Linked DNA regions of Callithrix jacchus. The protein of the gene in region 3 purifies or fractionates together with the protein of the main gene of each other region. This does not show direct contact. Links are inferred from orthologs where the notes say so. Each region holds a gene or a part of one and is shown on either strand. Other genes may lie near its edges.

The links.
Region 1: the proteins of FUS (region 3) and HNRNPR purify together in Homo sapiens (affinity purification with mass spectrometry; 4 studies listed by BioGRID and IntAct, with this or other methods). This does not show direct contact. The link is inferred for Callithrix jacchus from reciprocal best matches to the Homo sapiens genes FUS and HNRNPR.
Region 2: the proteins of FUS (region 3) and ZNF326 purify together in Homo sapiens (affinity purification with mass spectrometry; 3 studies listed by BioGRID and IntAct, with this or other methods). This does not show direct contact. The link is inferred for Callithrix jacchus from reciprocal best matches to the Homo sapiens genes FUS and ZNF326.
Region 4: the proteins of FUS (region 3) and DDX5 purify together in Homo sapiens (affinity purification with mass spectrometry; 5 studies listed by BioGRID and IntAct, with this or other methods). This does not show direct contact. The link is inferred for Callithrix jacchus from reciprocal best matches to the Homo sapiens genes FUS and DDX5.
Region 5: the proteins of FUS (region 3) and DDX17 purify together in Homo sapiens (affinity purification with mass spectrometry; 5 studies listed by BioGRID and IntAct, with this or other methods). This does not show direct contact. The link is inferred for Callithrix jacchus from reciprocal best matches to the Homo sapiens genes FUS and DDX17.
Region 6: the proteins of FUS (region 3) and HNRNPUL1 purify together in Homo sapiens (affinity purification with mass spectrometry; 3 studies listed by BioGRID and IntAct, with this or other methods). This does not show direct contact. The link is inferred for Callithrix jacchus from reciprocal best matches to the Homo sapiens genes FUS and HNRNPUL1.
Region 7: the proteins of FUS (region 3) and SNRPD1 purify together in Homo sapiens (affinity purification with mass spectrometry; 3 studies listed by BioGRID and IntAct, with this or other methods). This does not show direct contact. The link is inferred for Callithrix jacchus from reciprocal best matches to the Homo sapiens genes FUS and SNRPD1.

What each region holds. Positions count from the first base shown.
Region 1 is NC_133508.1:60,089,410-60,092,909, reverse strand, and holds part of HNRNPR (heterogeneous nuclear ribonucleoprotein R), read left to right. Parts: coding exon 1-24; intron 25-2,803; coding exon 2,804-2,917; intron 2,918-3,500. UniProt on the Homo sapiens protein: Component of ribonucleosomes, which are complexes of at least 20 other different heterogeneous nuclear ribonucleoproteins (hnRNP). hnRNP play an important role in processing of precursor mRNA in the nucleus.
Region 2 is NC_133508.1:127,429,386-127,433,330, reverse strand, and holds the start of ZNF326 (DBIRD complex subunit ZNF326), read right to left. Parts: upstream 2,801-3,945; 5' UTR 2,654-2,800; coding exon 2,638-2,653; intron 1-2,637. UniProt on the Homo sapiens protein: Core component of the DBIRD complex, a multiprotein complex that acts at the interface between core mRNP particles and RNA polymerase II (RNAPII) and integrates transcript elongation with the regulation of alternative splicing: the DBIRD complex affects local transcript elongation rates and alternative splicing of a large set of exons embedded in (A + T)-rich DNA regions.
Region 3 is NC_133513.1:30,701,585-30,705,084, reverse strand, and holds part of FUS (RNA-binding protein FUS), read right to left. Parts: intron 3,310-3,500; coding exon 3,275-3,309; intron 1,788-3,274; coding exon 1,755-1,787; intron 991-1,754; coding exon 887-990; intron 170-886; coding exon 40-169; intron 1-39. UniProt on the Homo sapiens protein: DNA/RNA-binding protein that plays a role in various cellular processes such as transcription regulation, RNA splicing, RNA transport, DNA repair and damage response. Binds to ssRNA containing the consensus sequence 5'-AGGUAA-3'.
Region 4 is NC_133506.1:89,763,383-89,766,428, forward strand, and holds part of DDX5 (putative ATP-dependent RNA helicase DDX5), read right to left. Parts: coding exon 3,039-3,046; intron 2,805-3,038; coding exon 2,663-2,804; intron 2,582-2,662; coding exon 2,421-2,581; intron 2,325-2,420; coding exon 2,152-2,324; intron 1,730-2,151; coding exon 1,619-1,729; intron 1,394-1,618; coding exon 1,332-1,393; intron 1,241-1,331; coding exon 1,181-1,240; intron 1-1,180. UniProt on the Homo sapiens protein: Involved in the alternative regulation of pre-mRNA splicing; its RNA helicase activity is necessary for increasing tau exon 10 inclusion and occurs in a RBM4-dependent manner. Binds to the tau pre-mRNA in the stem-loop region downstream of exon 10.
Region 5 is NC_133502.1:209,419,500-209,423,625, forward strand, and holds the start of DDX17 (putative ATP-dependent RNA helicase DDX17), read right to left. Parts: upstream 2,801-4,126; 5' UTR 2,474-2,800; coding exon 2,424-2,473; intron 1-2,423. UniProt on the Homo sapiens protein: As an RNA helicase, unwinds RNA and alters RNA structures through ATP binding and hydrolysis.
Region 6 is NC_133523.1:36,547,240-36,551,451, forward strand, and holds the start of HNRNPUL1 (heterogeneous nuclear ribonucleoprotein U-like protein 1), read left to right. Parts: upstream 1-1,412; 5' UTR 1,413-1,494; coding exon 1,495-1,789; intron 1,790-4,212.
Region 7 is NC_133514.1:64,593,271-64,596,770, reverse strand, and holds part of SNRPD1 (small nuclear ribonucleoprotein Sm D1), read right to left. Parts: intron 3,336-3,500; coding exon 3,144-3,335; intron 1,373-3,143; coding exon 1,296-1,372; 3' UTR 1-1,295. UniProt on the Homo sapiens protein: Plays a role in pre-mRNA splicing as a core component of the spliceosomal U1, U2, U4 and U5 small nuclear ribonucleoproteins (snRNPs), the building blocks of the spliceosome.

The DNA.
Region 1 (3,500 bases), on a different chromosome or scaffold from region 3:
GGACCTGATGAAGCGAAGATCAAGGTAAAACTTGACTTGGGTAGTTGCAATGAAATTACATTTAATGATGAGGTCAAATGCTTCTTTTCATGTTTCCCAGAGAGTTTCACTTTTAAAAATTAGTGTTTAGAAATGAAATAATTTAGAGAAATTACATAAGAAGGATAATTTTGGGGGTCAACACTCAATTGTATGTTTAACGAAAAGCCCTAATTCATATTCTCCCTCATTCATGGCCATGAATGATGTAGAGACAGACTCTTGCTCTGTTGTCCAGGCTGGAGTACAGTGACGTGATTTCAGCTCACTGCAACCTCTGCCTCCCGGGTTCAAGCAATTCTCTTGCCTCAGCCTCCTAAGTAGCTGGGATTACAGGTGCATGTGAGTGTGCTTGGCTGATGTTTGTATTTTTAGTAGAGATGGGGTTTCACCATGTTGACCAGGCTGGTCTTGAACTCCTGACCTCAGGGGATCCATCTGCCTAAGCCTCCCAAAGTGCTGGGATTACAGGCATGAGCCACCATGCCTGGCCTGAACAACGTACGTTTATTGATGATTCTGCTGGTAGTTTCTTGGATTGATCCAATAATGTCTCTTGGTTCAGTTATTTTCCAGGCACTTTGTTTCTTTTCTCTTGATAAAAAGATGTTGTTATAACTGCTTTCCTCCTTTTGAATTTTCAGTTACTTCAGTTTATTTGTAAAATGGGAAGAGTAATAGTAACTACCTCACAGAGTTATTTAAGGATTAAATGACTTAACATATATAAAGCACTTAGAATAATGCCTGGAATATAGTAAGAACTATTTAACCATGAGCCATTATTATTACCATTTTGTTACTTAGATAAACAGCTTTGAAAGGTAAATATACGCTTTTAGTGAAAGACCAGTAAACCTGATTCCTTATAATGGATACTCTGTCTTACTGTAGTGATGTACTTTTGTTTTGTTTTGTTTTTGAGACAGAGTCTTGCTCTGTTGCCCAGGCTGGAGTGCAGTAGTGCGATCTCAGCTCACTGTAACCTCTGTCTCCTGGGTTCAAGCGATTCTTCTGTCTCCCTCTCCTGAATAGCTGGGACTACAGGCATGCACCACCATACCCAGCTAATTTTCTTTTTATCTTTTGGTAGAGACGGGGTTTCACCGTGTTGGCCAGGCTGGTCTCGATCTTTTGACCTCAGGGAATCTGCCGACCTCAGTCTCCCAAAGTGCTGGGATTACAGGTGTGAGCCACTATGCCTGGTCTGTGATAGACTTTTTAATTTGAAATAGATATTTTATGTTGAAGTTATTTCTATTATTATTACATTGTAATATGTAATGAAATAATTATACAACTCACCATAATGTAGAATCAGTGGGAGCCCTGAGCTTGTTTTCCAGCAACTAAATTGTCCCATCTGGGTGTACTGGGAAATAGTGACAGATCTTAAGGCATTATATTCTCATAAGGAGCCTGCAACCTAGATCCTTCGTATGTGCAGTTCACGATAGGGTTCACGCTCCTATGAGAATCTAATTCGGCCGCTGATCTGACAGGAGGTGGAGCTCACAGCTCAGGCAGTAATGCCAAAAATAGAGAGGAGGAGGAGCAGCTGTAAATATAGATACAGCTGCTATGCAGCCCAGGCCACTACTTATCCATGGCCTAGGGGTTGGGGGAGCCCTGTTTTCTATTGCATTTATTTCTATGTTTAAAAGTAGAGAGCTCTGTTTCAGTTGAAAGTGGAGGAATGGAAGGCCGAAGACATGCATCCCTGTGGAACCCTAGTTCATTGAACTTGATGATATCTAAAGTCTCTTGTAGTTCTGACATTGTCTAATTTAAAAAACCTGAATTGTAAAATTCTCTCTTTTCTACATAGATTGCATTTCTTTGTTTGCCATTGTGTGTTTTGTTCTGTAGGCTCTTTATGTAAATGTTGCCTCAATTATAACATAAGCTCCTTGAGAGCAAAGACTTTATCTTCTTTTCTTTGATTCCTCTTAATGCCTAATAGAATGTAAGGAAGGTTGGTAATCAGGAAACACAAGATTTTACATATTTTTTGAAACTTGACTAATTTGGTAATTGCCAAATGTTTTTAGTCTGTACTGTGTGATTCTTGTCTGATTGTCTGATTCTTGTGGTGCTTATGATATGGCAGGAGTATAAAACAAAAGGATCAAACAAAGCTTCAATTATGGGACCTTGAGTACACTAGAAAGACAGTGGGGGCTGGTCGCGGTGGCTCACACCTGTAATCCCAGCACTTTCGGAGGCCAAGACAGGCAGATTACTTGAGGCCAGGAATTCCTGACCAGCCTAGCCAACATGGTGAAACCCTGTCTCTACTAAAAAGAAGAAAAATTAGCCGGGCGTGGTGGACATGCCTATAATCCCAGCTACTTGGGAGGCTGAGGCAGGAGAATCGCTTGAACCGGGAGGCATAGGCTGCAGTGAGCTGAAATGATGCCATTGCATACTCTAGCCTGGGTAACAGAGCAGGATTCCATCTTAGGGAAAAAAAAAAAAAAGAAATTAGGAAGAGAGGGATGTGAGTAATAGTAAACAAGAGAAGCTGCATGAAGGAGGTAAGACTTATGCTAATTTTTTGAGGATAGAGAACATTTTATTTGAAAAGACTCGCTGGTAGAAACATGTATGGGGAACTAGTGTGAATTTTGACTTTTTTTTTTTTTAACCTAATCATAAAAATATATTTCCTAGGAAGTTGGAGTACTTTGGAAAAGATTAATACATTGATGCTTGTGTTTGAAATTTAGTATTCAAGTATAAAGAGATGTATAATTATCTCTAGGCCTTGCTTGAGAGAACTGGTTATACTCTGGATGTAACCACGGGACAGAGGAAGTATGGTGGTCCTCCACCAGACAGTGTGTACTCTGGCATGCAACCGGGAATTGGAACAGAGGTAAGTGTTCTTTAGCTGTTTGCCAAGATCTTTCCAGGTTGAAAAGTGTTTTGTCTACTATGTAGATACTGTACAGAGGGGGAAAATACTTGATCCCTTTCAAACTGTACCTGCTATTATTTTTTAGATATCCATGTGTATGGATGGGAGTTTTGCTGCCATTATGAGCATGGATAATGTTGTGACTAGTAGATATCCACACACTTTATATCAGAATATAATATAGAGTTCTTGGAACGGGTTGCTAAAACCATGCTACTAGCAACACATCATTTTATATATTTGGAGTAAAATTATTTGGAAGATTGAGTTGCTTTATTCTGTTTTTTTTTCCTGCCCCTGAGATGGAGTTTCACTCTTGTTGCCCAGGCTGGAGGGCAGTGGCGCGATCTCAGCTCATTGCAGCCTCCACTTCCGGGGTTCAAGTGATTCTCTTGCCTCAGCCTCCCCAGTAGCTGGGATTACAGGTGTGTGCCACTACACCTGGCTAATTTTGTATTTTTAGTAGGGATGGGGTTTCACCATGTTGGTCAGGCTGGTCTTGAACTCCTGACCTCAAGTAATCCACCCGCCTTGGCCTCCC
Region 2 (3,945 bases), on a different chromosome or scaffold from region 3:
CACATTTAACAAAAAGGAATTAGTGTGATATTAGCAATAATTCAAAATTATATAACCATCTAGTCCAAAATAAGCACAATTTTTTTAAATGACAGTAATTATTCCCATAAATAGCATCTTCTGCAAAACTGGGGTACAAATAATTACCAATACCCCATTTGGGAAAACCGATCTCTTTTTTTCTTCACTATCTCCCCAAATAGTAGATTTATTATCCAAATTATGGTAAACATTAGTTTACAACACCTGATATATAATAACAGCCAAAAGAGAGGATCCAGCACTGATTCGTACCAAGTAACAAAAAGGCAGATAGATTAAATTATGTATCAAATAATGCCAAAGCAAAGATATCTGAGAACTGATTTTAAGTAACATGAAATTTTTGCTAAGTTAATTTCTTTTACCATTTAATTTGCTCTTCAAAGATTTCAGGATTTTGGCTGGGTGCAGTGGCTCATGCCTGTATTCCCAGCACTTTGAAAGACCAAGGTGGGCAGATCACATGGTCAGGGGTTCGAGACCAGCCTGGCGAATATGGTGAAACCCCATCTCTACTAAAAATACAAAAATTGGCTGGGCCTGGTGGTGCACGCCTATTGTCCCAGCTACATGGGAGGCTGAGGCAGAATCAGGTGAACCCGGGAGGCAGAGGTTGCAGTCAGCCAAGATCACTGCAACCTCACTCCAGCCTGGGCACAGAGTGAGGCTCTGTTTCCAATTAAAAAAAAAAATTCAAGATCTTATCTGAGACACGCATATGCATATACATATATGATTTTATTCTATATTAATCCAGAATGTGTCATCACTGAAAACCATATTGCCAATTACCTCACCAAAACTAATTTAACAACTGTTAAATTCCTTAGTTAATTTTACAAATATATACTGAAAAAACAAAAGAATTTAATGTAGTGGTCAAATGAATACAACAGAATCCTGCTACAGTACACAGGATTAGATTCGGCTATGGTGTTAGTCAAATTCCTTCTTCCAAATACAACAGTGGTGTATCTGGGCAGTGAGAGAGGGAGTATTTTATCACTAATATTGTTTAGTATTTTATCACTGACACTGTTTAGAATTGTAGGCATATGGCAGTAATAGAAAGCAGACATAGTATGTTTTATTATTGTTTTTCATTGCTCTATAGAAAATGGATTCCCTTACTGCTTTAGGTGGGGAGGAGAAAGAACTGCTTCCACTGCCCTACCTCCACCTTGTTAGCCTCTGCTATACGTTGGGTGTTGGCATTACCATCAAACTTTATCATGAAAATACAATACTTTTTTTATTTTCACTCCCAACTCTGGACATTTCCAATATTTGTATTTTAAAGGTATCTACATCAAAATGAGTCAAAGTCCAACTAAAACAAACAAAACCACGAGAGTGTGCTAATCTGAAGAGCTCAACTTACTGTTTCAAAGTAGCTGAAAAGTATCCACAAGAGGGCTATTCCAGTCCTCTTTCACAAATCTGTACCTAGATTTGACAGCCTTAACTCTTTGTAGCATGAAATCTTACGAAAAATCAAAAGCTCATTGAGTAAGACATATACTGAGATCACATCTCATTTAAAGATCATTTTTTTGGTGGGGTGAAAGGTTTACAGCCTACTTGGCGAACTGGTTTTACTTCGGCATGCCTGGTTACTCAGGATTAAATCCAGCTTAATCATACAAGTCCTTTCTCCCTAATGTTGTCTCTACATACCACCGTATCTTGACAACAATTCCTAGTAAAATTTGAAGACAAAAGTGAAGACCAAATTAATTTTACTTTGTGACCCTGTAAAAGTGGTTTAAAGAACTGGTATCTGAGACAACTGAAAGGTATTGCTAAAATACAGTTTATTCAATCCGTAGGTCAAATACTTACAAGGCTATGTACAGGTGTTTAAATGTGAAGGACATTTGATGCGTGCTGTGCCAAAATTCTGATTAACTTAAACCCTATCTACATACGATCCAAAGAAAAGTGGTTTGGTTCACGTAAATATTTCAAATTAGAGATTAACAACGGGATAATTTTTGTTGATAAACACAACAGTTTGCTAACCAGGAAACACCTTGCTTTCCATTTCGCATAGATGGCTATTTATATATATATCACTTAAAGACACCGTTTCAACTCATCTTAAACCAGGACAACCAGAAACATCACTGTGAACAAGCCTCCGAAAATTATATCTGGCAAGAAGCAAACCGAGGCTGAGGATTAGCTAAACGGATGGTCTGGGGCGCTGCCCTGCGGGGCGAATGCGAGACTAGGTGGGTGAGGCCGCACTCGCCCGTTGGCTCGAGACCGGGAAGTTGGAGACGTCGGGGCAATTTCCACTACCAGGAGCCAAGGCGAGTCTGGGGCTCCAGCCGGGAGGCCCTCGCGCTCTGGGCGCGTCCTACCCAACACCGAGTTCTCAGGTCTCCGCCGGCAGCCGGCGCCGGGCGGGCCGAATCAGGGCGCGCGGGTCCCCAAAGAGGCAGACGCCGGGCGCTGGGCCCGCGTCGGGCCGGCGGCCTCAGGGCCCGCAGAACAAAGCCCACACGGCCATCTTGAGACCGTAAACAGATCCTCAACGCAGGCCACCCCGCCTCCCGCCAGCCGCGCCGACCAGCCAGAGGCAGCGCTTACCGTCCTCGAAGTCCATGGCGGAGGCTGGGGGCCTTCGGCCTTGGCGGCGCTGGGCTGAGCTATGGCCGGCTGCGAGCGCCCGCGATCAGCGATACCACACGCTCACTCGACGCGACTGAGAGCCGGCGCTACCCGCCCGGGAGCCGCAGGCCACAGAGAGGCTGGGGAGGCGGGGCCGACCGGCGCTGCCTGCCCCCTCGGCGCGGCCTGTTATTGGCTGGCGCGGGCTGGTGGGCGGGCCCTCGCATGGGGGCGGGAAGCAGGTCTGCTGTCAAGCTCCGAGGTGCTGACCCCCTGGAGCCGCCGAGGGGGAAGGAAGGTAAAAAAGGAGCGCCAAAGATTGGCTGGGGTTGTGGGAAAGCGAGCGGAGTGTACGGGAAGGGCCGGCTGCTGCCCGCCATGTTTGAACCTGGCAAGAGCGAAAGAAGCCGGTTGGAATGCCTCCCTGCTTCCCAAACTAATAAAACCCCATGCCTAGCTTTTGCTTTTCATTGGCTAAGAATGACTGATCAGAATATTTGTAAGTACTTACGGAGTTTCTTCCGTGGATACACACAAGTCTGGGACATTTTTTAGAAGGCTGTGGCAAATTTGAAAAGCAAGATACAAAATTGCATATGGAATCTGATCGTCGCTATGTCAATAAATTCCCTTAAAAGACAAAGCATTGAAATAAAATGGAAATCATAATTCTTTTTAAAAATTTTTAATTCTTTTTATAGAGATGGGGGTTTTGCCATGTTGCCCAAGCAGGTCACCAACTCCCGGGCTCAAGCGATATCCCCGCAGCCCAGTCTCGGCCTCCCAAAGTGTTAGAATTACAGGCGTGAGCCACCACGACTCTCATGGAAAGAATTCTAAAACATGAACAATGAATCTTTTGGTGATGACTTTTTATTTACACATGATTATGTATTATATATTCTCCAAATTATTGAGCACTTTGATAATGTAAAATATACGTTTGGCATAAAACAAATTTAATACTTATTAATGATTAGTGTTTGTTAAAAGTTCTCCTTAGTCAAATACTATGTTTCGTTCTCTTTGAAGATATACTTAGTGATGCGGGGGGCGGGGGGTGCACTCTTGGCCATTTAAGTCAGTGGTTCTTGATTGTTACTGTACTCTGGAATCATCCAGGGCACTTTTTAGTAAGTGCCAATACTCAGGTTTCACTTCAGGGATTCTGATTTGATGATGAACCTAAAGCTGTAACAAATGTTTATTTTCAAGACATTTAGAGATGTTATTGGACTAATTTCTCTTCTGATTCAGTAACCTGTACCCCTTGGGAAAATGTCAGGT
Region 3 (3,500 bases):
TGGCCCCAGCCCCACCTCTGCCAACCTTCTTATACATACCATCAAACCAGTCAATAGCTGCTTTAGCAGAAGGTGGGTCATCAAAAGAGACCGTTGCCTCTCCCTTCAGCTTGCCGGTTTCCCTGTCTGTGTACAAATTAATCATGGGCTGTCCCGTTTTCTTGTTTGTCTGAAGGCAAAATGAGGTGACATCAATTTTAGAGGCTACAGTACTCCCATCTTCTTCCTCCAGAACATGAGGTTTATCATTCTCAAACTTCGGCTTCCCTCTTCCCAGTTCCCTCTTCCAACCTCACATGTAAATGTCCATTAAAGAAAAGTGTTTCTCACTCCAACATTGAGAAATAAACTAAATGTTATTATAGAGTACAAATCTCAGAATTTAGGGAACTCTTATCAGTTACACCTTTTGTGTTAAAGTAGAAATTCTTTTAGAAAACAGCAAGTGGCCAGACACGGCGGTTCACGCCTATAATTCCAGCACTATGGGAGGCAGGTGGGTCACCTGAGGTCAGGACTTCAAAGACTAGCCTGGCCAACATGGTGAAACCCCATCTCTACTAAAAATACAAAACTTAGCCAGGCATGGTGGTGGGTCCCTGTAATCCCAGCTACTCGGAGGCTGAGGCAGGACAATCACTTGGAACTGGGAGGCAGAGGTTGCAGTGAGCTGAGATCATGCCATTGCACTCCAGCTGGGGTGACAGAGCAAGACTCCATCTCAAAAAAAAACAGGAACTAAGGATCCTTCCTCAACAATTTAAGCTAGCAATAACCATTAAGACTTTTGTTTTTACTGCTAGCAACCATTAAGACTTGCTTTTACACTAATGTGTGAAATCCAAAAGCCTGCAACACTGACAGAAAGCACCCACTCCACAAGTACCTTAATAATACCAATCTGCTTGAAGTAATCAGCCACAGACTCAATTGTAACATTCTCGCCCAGGCCTTGCACGAAGATGGTGTTGTTGTCTGAATTATCCTGTTCTGCTTGTTGAACAGAGGAGAAAACGCAAATGTGAAAAAGTAAAACAAATAAAAATAAACACATAAGGAAAACCAAAAGCAGTACACCTAGTATCCATCAAGCAACTTGTATGATTTGGTCTATGGAAGACAAATGAAAAGAAATCCACATTCCCTTTTATTTTGAGTGCCTATATGCCAGCCATGCTGATAAATTTCAGGTTTGGTTTGACAATTATCCTTTGAAACACGTCAATACACAGTACAGAAACAAGAGCTCAGGAGTGAAATACCCAAGACCATGCAGGCAAAGTACATCAGTATTTATCAACTTTCAGTTAAGATCCCCAAATTAAGAAAGAAACCCATTTTACATTAAAATCTAGTACACAAACATCAACACAATCTAAACAAGTGAAATGCTTTCCTTCGTGTGGTCAGGTCTTTGTGTTCACTAGTTTTTGTTCACCAACTTAGACGTGATCCACATTTTTAAATAAACACTGCAGAAAACCAAAAGTTCTGAGTAGGGTCCAGATGCATCAGCATCACTGGGGACTTGTTGAGCAGATTTTCTGGGTCATCTCAGACCTCCTAAATCGTGGGGGGTGGAACCCACAAAGCCAGGTATTTCTGAGAAATACTTCATGATTACTTCTTACTGCTAAGGATACACGTAACTCCCTTTCTACCCTCATTTTTTCAGTTTCCTTTTAATAACATTTCAAAGAATATCCAGCCTTGATCCACTTTAGCTACTCTATTCATGCCACCTGTGAACTCACCGGAGTCATGACGTGATCCTTGGTCCCGAGGGCCTTAAGTGACATGGAAAAAAAGAACAAAACAAAAACAAAAACAAGGAAAGGGGAGCCGTTAGTCAACAGGAAAAAACGAACAAGGAAAAAAATTAACACCAAATCCAAATTAGCAAAATATCATGTAAGTGCTCACAGCCTCACTCCAAACCCCTTTCCTGGGTCACCTGCCCAGAGGAGAAAATTCTAGGTAGGCCCCTTAAGATCTGTAACTTGAGTCTCCACAGAGACAACTCCACACTTCAGAAAATGCTGCCTCCCCCAGCTCAGGCTGGGAAATGTCCTCAGCACAGACAGCAGGGGAAAGGAGACCCATTAAAGTGAACAAACCAACTCAGCTTGGCCCGGTTCTCTCACCCAAGAGAGATGGGCTCACCACGAGCCATGCGATCCAGTTTCTCCCAACTTTACCACCAAAGACACTTATCCCTTGTGGAACAATTTTTAATTTCATCTTTAGAAACCATTCTTAAAACCATGTTGTTTCCCCAAAACCACATGAAAATAAAAACCACACATAATAGCTATTGTATTTTTTAAGCATGTCCCAGGGAACAGACCAGAAATCTTATTTCCGTAATGCAGCCTCTATTTTGTTTTTCCAGAGACCATCTTTGACCAATGTTTATCTGAATTCGCCATATATAAATATTGTACCCACACGCAATGACATAAGTGTCATGAACCCAAGCCTTTGGCTTTAAATGTTGAGACAAATCAAGAAACCTTTTGTTAGTTAACCAAACCAGAAAAGTTCCAGCTTACTGGGAGACTTCTCAAATTTGTCATTTTTCCATGAATTCAGTGTGTGCTGTTTTAAGACCTTCCTGGTCCATGAATTCAGTTTGTGCTGTTTAAGACCTGGTTATTTCCCATGAGCCACACATGCTTCCAAACTTTCTTGAAGTAGTGCACATGTTCCTTCCCAGAGCTAGTTTCTATTTGCCCATCTGAGTTAAATCCACATACAGAGAATTGCAATCATTGACACCATTTCGTACTTTATACATGTATACCAACTTCACCATCCTCAGGGCAGGGCAATGTCACATCCCTCTTCCAGAATTAAAACATTTGGAGGTTGTCTCCCACACACACTCCCACACACGCAAGCCTTGGACACAATGATCAAAAGGGTCCTAAAGCCAAGTTGGCACCACGTGTTCCAGCACACTCTCTCCAGTTTCTCATGATGGTGGTCACTAAGTGCCAGGTGTGACAACACCCGTCCCAGGCCTAACTAGACCCCTCTTATTAACCGGGGGGCAAACCCATTTGGTAAAAGATGACTAATGAGTCTTACCCCTGCCTGCTCCAGGTTAGCACACACCAGGCAACAGGTGGCATTCTACCCTACCCCTTTTTGGAGGTGGTTCTGGACACCTCAATACCTTTGCACTTAAATTAACACGCTAAGACATCTGCAAATGAACAATCAGACAAAGCATTGCTGGGAGTTGGGAATTTTGGAAACTCTGTTCACTTACCACCAAATTTATTGAAGCCACCACGGTCACTTCCGCTGGAGAAGACAAGTTAGAAGAAAGGACATGAAGCTTCCAACGGCTACAAAAGGGTGTTTTTTTGATTTTGTTTAACATTCCCCAAACATGGGTAGGTGTTTTTGGAAAAAGATACAAGTGACTACTAAAATACATCCCTTCCTGACCACCCCTTGTCTGACCTTTGAGCGTGTCACACACACGTGTGCAA
Region 4 (3,046 bases), on a different chromosome or scaffold from region 3:
CAAAAATAAAAAGTTAGACAATTGTATTCCCAAGAAGGTACGGGCTGCAAAAAATACAGTTAAAATGGTTATCCATTCCCTGTAGGAATACCATTTGAGATTGAAAAAAGAAAAAAAAAAAGCACATGTCATCTGTGTTAAGTCTTCACCCACCCAATGACAGACCCTGTCAAAAGGAATGTGTATCCCTAGCACATTCCCAAATCAGCAAGTTCCCTTACAGATCATCAAGTGACATCTGAATGCTTCTGCGCAGTAGGGCCACTTAAAGTTTCACAGCAACCTCTTCATGTGCTCATTTTGAGGACCTTGAAACAAAAAAATGTACAAGGTCCTTTGCATTACACATTTATCAGAAGTTCAAAATTCTCTGGCCACACTGCTTGTCTTGCCAAGACCTTACAACCGCAGCTGCAAGAAAACATACCTGTCCCCCAAAAGTTGTTTTTATGCACTGTGTCTCGTCTAGGCAAGCGCTTCCAAGAAGCCAGGATTCACTTGAGAATGTGTCTCTCTCTGGCAGGTCTCGACATGACGACTACTGTGTAGGTGAGGGAGGAACTTTCAAAGCACTTTCTTTTCCCACTGACTTAAGTGTGAGAAGTTGCTCCTGCTCTACATCTCATGTGCCAGTACTCACCAATTTGTAAAAGGCTTTAGTACCTTTTAAAGCTGCTCTCTCCATTTCAAACTTGAACAAAAATTTCATTGAACATTGAAGTTTGGAAATATTTCTTCGACATTTCAGCAAACTCACTGAAACTCAAAGACCCACAGATCACAGTGAACAGTTTGAAACAATGCTGTACCATGGCAGTCATGCAAAGCATGGGACAGAAGAAATACCACGGCAGTGAACTGTGAGGATAACTTCCTTATTTTCCCTCGGAGAGAACAGTTTACGGGGCAGAGGTGGTATGTTCTGCCTTTTGAAGATTACTGGCACACGTTCAGCTTTTCACCTCTCTAATCGACTGGAAGCAGCCAGCCGATCACTAGTCCTCCATCCCCCTCGAGTCCTCCGATTGTCATGCCTAGGCCTTGCCACAAAGACTGCACCTTTATGTGAAAAAAAACTTAAGAAAAAATGCAGAGGTTAAAGAAAGCAATAAACTTTCTTTAAAAAAGTTAAATGGAGATCTTCTGGGAAACCAAGCCATGAATGCGAGTTTGTACTAACCTAGCCCTCTGGAGGCCACATCTGTAGCAATCAGAATAGGAGCTTTTCCATGTTTGAATTCTACAAAAAGGAAGGCATACAAATGATCAATTATCTGAGCAGAATTCTAGCTAGATTAAGGAGGGGCAAAAGCTTCATTTGAAATATTTACCATTTAGAACCCAGTCACGCTCTTGTTGACTCTTGTCACCATGGATACCCATGGCAGGCCACCTAAGTTAAAAGACAAGTTGTATTATTAAACTCACATTGAAAAACCTCAAGACTCAACTGCTTAATCACTTTATTCACAGATCCCTTTAATTCCACAAGTAACACATACATCATTTTACCCATACTATCAGATAGGAAACTTAAATCAACTGTTCCTGATCCAAGTTCGCCCTTTCCTAAGCTCAGTTCTAATAAATCTGCTTCAATGCAGGAGCCCACACATACCCATCTCTCCTCATTTTTCTGGTAAGCTCATCACATCTTCTTTTGGTCTCAACAAAAACAATGGTTTTATTCTCCTTCTCACTCATGATCTCTTCCATTAGACGAATAAGTCTAGTAAGAGAGAAAAAGGAAAATCCTTTGTTTCTTTTTTTTTTTTTTAAACCGACCCACCGCCAGAAAACCCTGAGTTTTAAAAGACCATCACTATGGCCACACATTTACAGTCAGCAAAACATTAGGTTTAATTTTACATGGCTAGAAGTCAAAGAAACACTTGCTAAGCCACTCACTTATCAATCAGTTTGACCCTTGGTCCTTAAGTCAACCAGGGGACACACGAATTTCTTCCATAGGAATGCTATAAATGATTACAGCCAATTATTTGAAAGATTCAAGAGATTTTCAAAAGAATTAATATGCTAACACTAAATGAAGTAGAACACACCAACTGAAATAACCTAACTCAACATCAATGATCTCTCAATTTTACAGCAAACTTGTTAGCAAACATAGCAGAGTTAATTAAAACTTACTTTTCATCCTTTTCTACATCATGACACACATCCACAATCTGAAGAATGTTGTGGTTTGCACTCAGTTCCAGGGCACCAATGTTTATATGAATATAGTCTTTCAGAAAATCTTCAGCAAGCTGTCTTACTTCTTTTGGCCAAGTTGCACTCCACATTAGAGTTTGCCTATCAGGCTAATGGATTGGGGTGGGGGTGTGGGGGAGAATTAGCATTGGACTTAAAAGCCAAAACAGAATTGAATTTGATCACTTATTTAGATTGACACTTACTCTTATCTGATCCACAATCTTCCTTATTTGGGGTTCAAAGCCCATATCAAGCATTCTATCTGCTTCATCAAGGACAAGGTAGGTGGTTCTTCTCAGATTGGTTTTCCCACACTCTAAAAAGTCAATCAGTCTTCCAGGTGTTGCAATACAGATTTCCACACCTTTAATTATTAAACACATAACTGTAACTACAATACCTAGGATATTTAGCACCAATTAACAAAACCTTTTTCATTATCTACCTCTTTCCAAATCACGTATTTGTGGTCCCTTGGGAGCACCACCATAGATACAAGTAGACTTCAAGCGACACGCTCTACAATATTCAGCAGCTACTTGCTGCACCTGTTGGGCCAGTTCCCGAGTTGGTGCCAGCACCAAACACTAAGGAAAGAGAAACAACTTTCAGCACAACTTGGACACTAGTTTTAAACTACTAACTTATTAGTCATGCTCGCAGATCCTTTCTAAATACGTGCTGTCCAGTACCCAAAGCAGCTCCAACTAAATAAGGTGAGCTAACCTCTATATAAAACTACCACAAATGATTGTCTTTTGCTATGCAGTCTAAAAATCTATACATTATGCTTTAATCAAAAGATAAAAATATATACTTACAATAGGCC
Region 5 (4,126 bases), on a different chromosome or scaffold from region 3:
GGGAAAGGGAGAGCTGGGGCAGATCTTGAAAGGCCAGTTCATTTGAAATTTTTTAAAAATGCCATCTGATAGTCAAGTATGGATCAGTAATTCACCTTTTGCCTCCTTTCAAATAACTTATTAAAGCATATATATGGGGAAAGGAAGTATTAACCCAAACACCCATTGTAAAGAAATACAACATTATTAATACCTTGTAGCCCCTCTATGTGCCTGTTTCACATTTACAACTTTCACCCTAATAACCACTGCCTTCAATTTCGTTAACCATTCCTTTCCTGCCATTTTTGCACATAGCCTTTAATGTGTCACCCTACCACAATCTTTTTAACTCAACAAGTCTGTGACTTATTCACATTAATCCAAGTCCGTGCCCCTCCCCCCACTGATTCAATTGTATTCAATGGCACAAATACCCACAACTTATTGAGACATTTGTTTCCAATATCCTGTTGTCATGAATGCTGGTATGCAAATTTTTCTGGTAAGGATACTGGGCCACGTGTGCAAGGATTGTTCTAGGCATTACAGTGTAGGGTATAAAGCTTAGTGAGGAATTTCTGGGTTTTCAACTTTCCTAGATAATCTCCAATTATTTTTCTAACTGGTTGTACCGAAATTCACTTCTAAACTTAGCAATACAGTAAAACACTGAGCAAACATTCCACCTCTCAACTTAAAATGAGATCAATTATTTTCCTTCCTAATAAGATATAAATCAACATTTTCATCTTGTAAAAAGTGGCAACTGAAGTGGTTGTGACTAGTTAATGTGGTAGTTGTGTATCTAAACCACAAAAGACAAAAATGTTTGGAGAAAATATCATTAACAGAGCCCCGCTACAGACAGACAATGACATCCATTATCTTTTAATCCCTGACATCATCAAAGTAAAGGCTCGGAGAGGAAACAGGTTCACAACGGCTGCCGATCTTGACCAAGGCCGCGCACACACAAAGTGGCATCACTTTACTTTTTTGGGGGGCAGGGGGAGTTGGGGGAAGGCCGGAGTGCAGTGGCACGATCTCGGCTCACTGCAACCTCCAACTCCCAGGTTCAAGCGATTCTCCTGCCTCAGCCTCCCAAGTAGCTGGGATTACAAGTGTGCGCCACCAAGATCGGTTATTTGTATTTTTAGTAGAGACAGGGGTTTCACCATATTGGCCAGGCTGGTCTCAAACTTCTGACCTCATGATCTGCCTACCTCAGCCTCCCAAAGTGCTGGGACTACAGGCGTGAGCCACTGCACCCGGCCTGTACAGACACCGCTTTTCTAAGTGGTAACACAAATAAGAACATCTCTTAAGCGATATTTTCTTTTAACAGTAAAATTTAAATCTGGGAACTTTAGGTTTAAACTTAAAAGTTAACTTCCAACTCAGTAATTCTGGCATTATAATACCAATTACTTTTTTTTTTTTTTTTTGAGATGGAGTTTCCCTCTGTCGCCCAGGCTGGAGTGCAATGGTGCGATCTCTGCTCACTGCAACCTCCGTCTCCCGGGTTCAAGCGATTCTCCTACATCAGCCTCCCGAGTAGCTGGGATTACAGGCCATGTGCCCCCGCGCCCGGCTAATTTTGTATTTTTGGTAGAGACCGGGTTTCTCCACGGTGGTCAGGCTGGTCTCGAACTCCTAACCTCAGGAGATGCGCCCGCCTCGGCCTCCCAAAGTACTGGATTACTGGCGTGAAGCACCGCGCCCGGCCCATAACACTAAGAACTTTCTAGAAAGATAGAACAGTTGCTGCTGCTGTCCAATTACGGGGAGAAAAGGCTGAAATATTATAATTAAAACTAAACGACCCAAAAATCTCTCCTTCCCCTAAACACGATCATTCAGATGGGAACTCCATTGCTTTACACTCCAATGTATTTCTCCCACTTAAAATATGACTTTAAAGGTTTAAAACCTATTTTTAAAAATAAAAAGTCGGTGTTTTGGTCTCCAGTGCCATAAAGTGAACTCTGGGGACAGAATGTCAAGGCTGCCATTTCGTGAAAGGTTTTGCCGGGCTGAAGTCTCTTAGGAAGATCCGTGTTTTCCAGATGAAGGTCGAGGCCTGGAGACATCAAACGGCCCGCCCGAAGCGGCCAGACGGGAAGAGCCGGTAAATCAGGCGAGGCCCCGACAACCCGGGCCGGGGCTGCTGCGGCCAGGCCGCCCTCCCGATCCCCCCCGCGGCTGCGACGAGACCGGACCGCGCCACGACGGCCGTCCGCACGAAGAGGCCCAGCGTCGCCAAGCCGCCGCCCTTCCCGGGTCGGAGTGACCCCGGTCCGAGGCCCGCAAACGAAACCGCCGTCTCGCCTCGCCTCCCGGGGTCGAGAACAAGGCGCTCAGGCCCTCAGTCCGCTGGGCCTATCCAGGAAGCAACTTCCCCACCCCCACGCCAGGCCTCTCCTCTCCTCCCCCACCCTTACCCTCCACGGTCACGGTCCCGGTCCCGGTCCCCAAAGCCGCCTCCGCGCATGGTCCCAAACGGATAGAGATCTGGGAGCGGGGCACGGATGGCCGGGCTCGGGAGGGCCTGCGGCTCCGGTCTGGTGACGACCGATGGCGGCGGCGCCTCCGCTGTTGGGGCGGCGGCAGGCGCAGCGCTCTCTCGCTCCGACGCGCTGTCTCCCGTCGCAGACGCCACCGTCGCCGCCTCTCTCGTCGGAGACGGGAGCAAAACACAGAGAATCGGGGCTATATAGCCGGTGGGCAGGTTTGGCTACGCTCAAACCCGGCAGTGCCGCGGTTTAGGCGTCTCCTTCTTTCCCAGCGACTGCACAAAATGGCGGCCGCTGCTGAGTCTGCTCCAACTTAACGCTACGTACGGCGGAGAGGATACGTAAACAGCGTCTCGGAATAGCCCGAGGGCTCCGCGGGGTACTACGGGTATTCTTGGAAGCACTTTACGTCAGTTGCGACGATGGGGGTATTTTGCGGTGTGTACAAGAAAAACAAAGTACGGAGTGAGCGTAGAGTTTTCGCGCCACCTGAACTAGAACGTGGGGTGAGGTGGGTGGAAGAGCCTCCAGTGCGACGTAACATTCTTTGCGTCGTTTGCCGGCCCGCTGTTGCGAAGATGCGCAGTATGCGTAACGCATTCTGTTCAGAGAATAGAGGATTTTGCCGGATTGTGATCTCGGGTCAGACACCGCGGAGGGCTTGTGGAAGTTCCTTTGCAGAGACAATAACAGTCCTCTATATTGTTATCAAGTTTCGGGGTCTCCTGGTGCCGGAGGCTGGAAGGGTCTTAAGTTCCCTGACTGGCCTTCCCATATGGTGCTGGCAGCCCTCTCGCCCCGCCGCCCGGGGCTGGCTGAGAATGGCGGCGGGCCCCGGCGCCATTTTCTTTTGGTTGCCTCTCGCTGCTCTGTCTCCGGCAGCCATGATGGATGCACCGTGTCCCTTTCTTTCAGGAGTTGGTGAGGTGTCGACGTCCCCATTAGGTTAAAGCGCCCCCAGCTACGCTTGGATCACACTGAGGTGCATTTTCTGACCCGTATGTTTTCACCCTCCCTGGCCAAGCACAGCCGTTGCTAATGTGCTCGGAGGCTGGGCGTGGTGCCTCACTCCCGTAATCCCAGCACTTTGCGATGCCGAGGTCTCCTGATCACCTGAACTCAGGAGTTCCAGACCAGCCCGGCCAACATGGTGAAACCCCGTCTTTACGAAAAATACAAAAATTAGCTGGGTGTGGTGGTGCGCGCTTGTAATCCCAGCTATTCGGGAGGCTGGGGCAGTATAATCTTTTGAACCCGGGAGGGGAGGGTGCCATCAGCTAAGATTGCGCCATTGCACTCCCGCCTGGGCGGCAGAGTGAGACTCCGTCTCAAAAAAAATGCTTGGAGCCCCAGTGGACCCCGTGGGTTCTTGGCTGCCTTTAAACGGCGCGCTTCAGAAAGCCCCGAGAAGACCCCAGCACTCAGGAGAACAGCGGTGGTCAGACAGAAAGGGCGAGGCCATAAGGACAAGCGTTTAACCGGGCTAGCCCACCTTCTCCGCTCAGTTCCTGCTGTACTGGCTTCCCTCTGCTTACCTGCTCCCTGTCCTCTCAGGCTGCATTTTAACGCCCCTCAAACTTGGCCAGATGACGTCCCACGACCGTTGAGCTGTTAGGGCCCTCGAGACAGGC
Region 6 (4,212 bases), on a different chromosome or scaffold from region 3:
CGAGATCGCGCCCCTGTACTCCAGCCTGGGCAACAAGAGCCAGACTCCATCTCAAAAAAAAGAAAGAAAGAAAGAAAGAGGAAAAAAAGAACTGGATGCGTCTGATGTGACGCATGCCTGTTTGTTTATCTCTGCGGGGTGTGCCTTTGTCTAAGTAGAGATGGTGTGTGGCTTCTGCGGGCTTAACGTGTGGCTCGGGAGGGAGTAGGAGTCTGCATCGTGTACCCCGATTGCGTCTTACTCGAGTTTTGCTTTCTGAGTTAGAGGCGACAGGTGGTGCGGCGTTAGGCACTGGGAAGCTCTCTGGCGTTTGTATTCATGAGCGCGAGCCTTAATGACTGATCCGCGGGTTTGAGCTTGTAGGTACAGACGCCAGATAGCCCGATTTACGAGAACAGCCGATTAGAGGATTCGGGAGAGCGGTCGGTGAACTTCTGGAGGTCTTTCGGGAGGGGAAGGCTCTATGGTAGCGTGCAGAGCGCCCGTTCCACGTCAGGTACCCACCATAGAGGAAGGCAGCTGCGGACTACCCAAGGGAAGGGCAACTTGCCTCCCGTTGTTAGTCTGGCCTCTACCCCCAAACCTTCGGGATTTCCTGAAGTCAAAATTTTGCTTTTTCTAAAAACGACTGGGTTTCTTTCAGATTACGAACTGTATATTCACTTAATCTCTATTCCATATACCTCCTACTACAGCGAAATTTGTGAGACAATCCTCTAAAGCACGGCCAATCTGGTGAACTTTTCCTAAAACGAGCCATCTCTGCCAGCTTTAGGAGCTAAGACAATAACTACGATTGGTGGGCAGATTGTTTTGAAACCGCCCTAACGGCAAGGGGCAGGCCCTCGGTGAATTCATCTGTTTCCGGTTTCTTAAAGGCAACAGGAAGGAGGGGTTTCTGCCGACACTCCGTTTCATTGGTTCTTGTGGTTTTACCCGCTCGGACTCCTCAAGGGGCGGGAGATGTAGACCAATCGGAATGTGTGTTACAGAGACACTTAGTTTGATGAAAGGACTACGCAGAAAGGCCGTGGGGCACTCATTCTGAGATCTCACCGCCGATTGGACCAAACTGTTACTCCCTTGTTTTCATTGGGCCTTACGGCAGGAGGCGCGGGAGAGCTATCCAATCAGCGCGCGCCCCGCCTCCTGCCTTTTCCCGCCCTCCGCTCCGGCCTCGGCCTCGACGTAGGCCAACGCTTCCTTCCCGGTAGCTCTTGGGCCTTCTCGTTGCCGTTTTTTGAAAACCGCGTTCTGATTGGCTGGGTCTCATGGCCGGCGCCCGTTGCCCCAAGCACTGACCAATTGGCACTCGTGTTACATCGGACGAGGCACGGGTGAGGGGGGAGAGGGCGGCGGCGGCCATTTTGAGCCGCCGCCGCCATTGGAGTGGGCCCCCCCCTTCCCCCTTCGCCTTCTGACAGGAAAGGTTTAAGGGGGACATAGCCCTGGGGGGCCGGGCCGGGCTCGGGGGCCACCCCGGGGGCCCGGGCCATGGATGTGCGCCGTCTGAAGGTGAACGAACTTCGCGAGGAGCTGCAGCGCCGCGGCCTGGACACTCGAGGCCTCAAGGCCGAGCTTGCTGAGCGGCTGCAGGCGGCGTTGGAGGCCGAGGAGCCTGACGACGAGCGGGAGCTCGAGGCCGACGACGAACCGGGGCGACCTGGGCACATCAACGAGGAGGTCGAGACCGAGGGGGGCTCCGAGCTGGAGGGGACCGCGCAGCCACCGCCGCCCGGGCTGCAGCCGCACGCGGAGCCCGGCGGCTACTCGGGGCCGGACGGACATTGTGAGAGTGCGCGGGGCGGGGGCCGGGGAGCCCGGAGCCTGGGCCGAGGAAAGGGCTGTGGGACGCGGGAGTCCAGCGCCTGAGGTCGGGGAGAAGACTAGAGGATCGGGGGATCCCGCCACCCGCCGCTGAAAAGGATCTGGGGACAAGGGCCCCGGCGCGACCGGAGGGTGGATCCTGACACTCGGTGCAGGGGGGACACTGGGGGAGGGGCTCTGGGTTTCGGAGATTAGAGGCCGGGGTGGCGGGGAGGATTCCGTACCGTGGGGCTCGGATCGGAGACCGGAAACTTGGTTTCTGGGGCCGGAGAGACTCGGAAGAACAAGACGTTTTCCATTTGGGCTAGTGAGGGTCTCGAAAATGGGGATCCTGGGGTTCGGAGCTCGGAGGGCTCGGCGGCCGTGCTCGCCCAGCGTGTGGGCTGGGGGGCGGGGAGCCGTGTTTCCAGGGTGGGGAGAGAATGTCCAGGTGTGCGGGGCTGGGAGAGTTTTGAAGAAGGAGGATCCTGGAGTATGCCGCTGGATGCGATCCTGGGAGTTCTCCCGTTTGCTACGGGGGTGGGTGGGTGAGGTGGAGGCGCTGGTGTCTGTGGCTGGGGAGGATCGAAGGAACTCAGTGCTCTGGAGGTTGGCTGGTGAGCATTTAGGGGGATGCGGGAGCTTGAACCAGAGGGCACCGCATCTCTCTTCCGCGGTTGGAAGGCCACCCTTGAGGCAGGCACAGCTTGGACATGTGGTGCTTTGAGATCTGGGGACTTTCTGGTTGGCCGCTAGAAGAGGTCCAGAGGCTGGCGGGGGAGAGGATGCTTCCCTGGACAAAAGATCCGGGGGTCTAGAGCTAGGAAGACTGAGGACAGATAACTCCGAGGCTGCTGCTGAATGGCCTGGGGCTGACTGTGGGCTTTCCGCGAACAGGGGGTAGCTGGGGGTGGGAGGGGTGGGGGCAGATGAGTTGGTAACATTCGAAGTGGATGAAGTATGTGGCGGGAGACAGGATCCTGTATCCAGCACTGAAGGAGTATGGAGCTGGTTGGGCGTATGAGGAGGGGCAGGCTGTAGGGAGCAAAGAGAAAGGAGACCTGTTGACTTCACTGGAGGCCCCAGAGTGGAGTGCGCAGAGTGTTTCTGGACCCGAGCATCTCCAAGAGAAATCTCGTTGGTTGCCAGAAGCAGTTTTTTATGTACCCAGGGAGTGGGGACCCTCAGGGAGCAGCAGGGAACCTCTGCATCAGCCAGGAAGTGGGACTCTGGGAATGAGTTCAGGTAGATCTGTGGTTGTCTGAGGAGAGGAAACCCTGGTATGGGACGGAGTGAATCTTCAGTTAGAGAAAAGCAGCTTGGTTGAGCGCAGTGGCTCACGCCTGTAATCCCAGCACTTTGGGAGGCCGAGGCAGGCAGATCACGAAGTCAAGAGATCCAGACCATCCTGGTCAACATGGTGAAACCCCATCTCTACTAAAAATGCAAAAATTAGCTGGGCGTGGTAGCGCCAGCCTCTCATCTCAGCTGTTTGGAAGGCTGAGGCAGGAGAATCGCTTGAACCCAGAAGGTGAAGGTTGCAGTGAGCCGACATCGCGCCACTACCCTCCAGCCTGGTGACAGAGCAAGGCTCTGTCCCCCCAAAAAAAGAAAAAAGCAGCTTTCTTTCTTTTCCCCTTCCCCTTCCCGTTTTTCTCCCTCCCTCCCTCCCTCCCTCCCTTCCTTCCTTCCTTCCTTCCTTCCTTTTTCGAGTTGGGGGTTCGCCAAACACCCAGGCTGGTCATGAACTCCTGGGTTCAAGTGATCTGGCCGCCTCGGCCTCCTGAGGTGCTGGGATTACAGGTGTGAACCACTGTGCCAGGCCTCCGGGCAGCTTTCTAGTAGGACTGGGAAATGTGCCTACTGGAGAGGTTAAGCAGTAAGTAGAAGGGATTCTGGCATAGAGTTTGTAGAGTTTTTCTGAAAAGAGGGCATCCTGGGACTTGGGGCTAAGGGAATGAGAAGAAAAATGAGATAACAGAAGAGACAGGAGTTGGGATTGGCATTGGATACTTGTTCATAAGAGGTAAGGTTTCCTGGAGGGAGATAACCCAAGTGTGGATTTGGGATAGACAGTGGCTTAGGAATTATTCAGAATCCAGGTGCTGGAAAGGGGACTTCCCATTGCAGAGACTTGTGAAGAAAGGAGTGGCCCTGTGTGCATGTCTAAAGCAGGAGGGACTGGCAGGAATGCCTAGCAAGAAAGGGTAGTGCAGTAGTAGTGACCTGGAGGTCTGGCCAGAGAGTCCTGTCTGAGAGGAGAGTGAATTAGGTGCTTTGGAGTGTAGTCCCTAGACTCAAACAGACTTTGTTTCAAATCTGGCTTAACAATATTGTCAAGTCACTTCATCTCTGTGAGCCTGGTTTCCTTGTGGGTAAAATGGAGTTAATAAATACTGTCTTTTC
Region 7 (3,500 bases), on a different chromosome or scaffold from region 3:
ACATTTAACTCCAAGTTTCAACTTGGAGAACATTAAAACTATACCCTATTGAGAACTGATTAAAAAGCAAAAGAAACAAAAATCAGCAGCTAGAAAACAAAAGCAATGACCCTTAATATAGAAGACAACTTTTTACCAAGTACCTTAGACTCTGTGGAGTAAAACTCAGGAACAGCGAAATTTTTTTTTTTTTTTTTTTTTTGAGACAGAGTTTCGCTCGTTACCCAGTCTGGAGTGCAATGGCAGGATCTCAGCTCACTGCAACCTCCACCTCCTGGGTTCAGGCAATTCTCCTGCCTCAGCCTCCTGAGTAGCTGGGATTACAGGCACGTGCCACTATGCCCAGATAGTTTTTTGTTATTTTTAGTAGAGACGGGGTTTCACCATGTTGACCAGGATGGTCTCGATCTCTTGACCCCGTGATCCACCCACCTCGGCCTCCCAAAGTGCTGGGATTACAGGCTTGAGCCACCGCGCCCGGCCCCCCAGGAATTGAGAATTTTAGACCCCATCCCACAAGGACTTTAGTTTCTGAAATACCAAAAAGAACTTACTTCCCCTTGTAGGTGGGTGCCACAGAATGATGTCAGAGTAAAGCAATAAAATGCACATTCAGTGCATGTGAAGTAAAAGGGTATATATTCTATATAAGTTTAGCCTAAAGTTGTCTCTTTACATATCTTAAGTTTAGCCTAAAGGTTTCTCAGTACAAAGTGAACTGCAGCCTAACTGGTTATGTAAACAGATGGTACCCTACTCTTGGGCCAATTACTAAGTTTCAGCCAATCAAAGGCTGCGAACTGTTCAACCTATATTCAAATAAGGCAAACGCTGAACTGTAACTAATCCAGCTGTTGCTGTATCTCACTTCCATTTTCCATACATCTCTTTCCTTCTTCTGTCCATAAATCCTCATCAACTATGCAGCTGGGCTGAAGCCTCTGAACCGATTCTGGTTCAGGGGCTGATTTATGAATTGTTCTTTGCTCAATTAAACTGTCAAATTTAATTTGTCTGAGGCTTTTCTTTTAACCTTATTTTTATTATCATAAAAATAAAAATTTTAGTTCAAAACTTAAAGCCTGATCATCTAAAAATGAAACTGCCCAGTAGAAATGCTTAGCTTTCACTGTGGTATTCTTATGAATGTGGAGGAAACTACTAAAACTCTGATATACTCAATAGACCACTCTGTCCCACATTTATGTTTATTAAAAACTGACATAAACAAACACAACCTGTACAAAAAATATCCCAGATCCCATATGACTTTGAAACAGTAATCATGAGAAACATTATCGCCTAGGACCCCCTCTTCCTCTGCCACGGCCACGTCCTCTTCCTCTGCCTCGGCCTCGGCCTCTTCCTGCAACTGAGGGAAAAGAAAAACAAAGCAAATTCAATTCTCTTCTGCATGAATGTTACCTAGCCACCACAAACAGCGTTTACACACAGACACCTTTCCCCGTTTATAGCTCTTTATTAGCAGTTACAGTAAAGTTAAGTTTAACTAGCTTCTCTTAAATGTGTTAAGACTTCAGATTTCCCGCCACCCCCTCAACACATTATCATGCAGAACCAAGAACTAAAGGCCTAGGAAGATTATTATTTGTTTCAATTTATTTACTAAGAAATTTGTCAAATTTTAAATATGTTTTCTTTATATCATGTCTCAAATTCACCATAAAATGATTTGAACCTCACAAAAAATGGAAGAGATATATCAATAGAACATGAATAACCTGATGCCAGAGTCTGGTAACTGAATAAAATCCAAGCAAGTTAATTCAAATCCAGGAAAGTTTATAACTATGATATCAATCACAATCTTATTAACTCTTCAGAAAATTAAAATTCATTTGACCCAAACATAATCTAGTGCTTTAACCCATATAGCAATATCCCTGTCACTTGGTCATCCTAACTCAAGTTGAGTATCATGATGACAGAGAACTCATCACCCAAATAAACATTTCATCTTCAGACAGCTATAAATATTAGAAAATCCTGATACAGTCACATTCTAAATTTTCTTTTGGATATAGGGTCTCACTCTGCAGTCCAGCCTTTACAGACCCACCACCATGCCCGGCTCTTTTTTGTGTGTTTTTAGTAGAGATGGAGTTTCACTATGTTGGCCGGGCTGGTCTCAAACTCTGACCTCAGGCGATCCACCCATCTGGGCTTCCCAAAGTACTGGAAGCCACCATGCCTGGCTTCTTTTTCTTTTTAAAGAAAGAAAATAGGTAAGGCTTGGTGGTTCACGCCTGTAATCCTAGCACTTTGGGAGGCCAAGGTGGGTAGATCACGGGGTCAAGAGATCAAGACCATCCTGGCAAACATGGTGAAACTCTGCCTCTACTAAAAATACAAAAATTAGCTGGGTGTGGTGGCAAGAGCCTGTAGTCCCAACTACTTGGGAGGCTGAGGAAGAATATTAGCTTGGATCTGGGAGGTGGACGTTGAAGTGAGCCAAGACCATACCATTACACTCCAGCCTGGGTGACAAGAGCGAGACTCCATCTCAAAAAAAGAAAACAAAGTTCTTTTAGTAGAGATGGGGTTTTTCCATATTGGTCAGGCTGGTCTGTTAAAGAGTCTCCATGCTGATCAGACTGGGAGTTCATCCTGCCCTCAGGTGATCCGCCCACCTCAGCCTCCCAAAGTGCTGGGATTATAGGTATGAGCCACTGCATCCAGCCTAAAAACAAATTTAATTTAATTTATTTATTTTTGAGACAGGATCTCACTCTGTGTTGCCCAGGCTGGAATGCAGTGGTGGCATCTTGGCTCACTGCAACCTCCACCTCCTGGGTTCAAGCAATTCTCCCACCTCACCCTCTCAAATAGCTGCAATTACAGACATGAGAAGCCCCTATACCAAGACATTAAGAAATTTCAGAATACTAGGAATAAAGAGTCCATCTCCAAATCTTCCAAAGTGGGGGCAGGGGACAGAAAATGATAAATCCTTTGAACAGGAAATACATCAATGTTTTTAACAGCAACTCCAGGAGTTATAATACATACTATAGGAAATATTAAGCAACAAAGACACTTGTGTTGTTTACAAATATTTATATTATGAGTAGTGTAGATTAGGATTGGCATTCAAAAAAATGTTTATATTCCTTCAAACTTACCTGCTTCCCTTTTCTTAGATTTCACCTTAGGTTCAACATCCACAAGTAGTGTATCCAGAGGTAAACTGTCTGGTAGAATAAAGTATCGAATGTTATTTCCTCGAATACTCAGCGTTTCCAGCTGTACAGGTTCTCTGTTCTTCAGGGTCATTTTCACAGCTTTAAGATGTGTATTCATGCTGACATCCACACCTCAAGAGGAAAAGAATTGGGCAGTTATTAGTATGATACAAGGAAGGCAACTAATTAATCTACCAAGCCACAGTAAATACTGGACTACAAAAGAATACTGTTCTGCTACAGTGTAAGTTTTCTGTGACACAATTTAGCACGTGCGACTGGTAAATGGGGGAATAA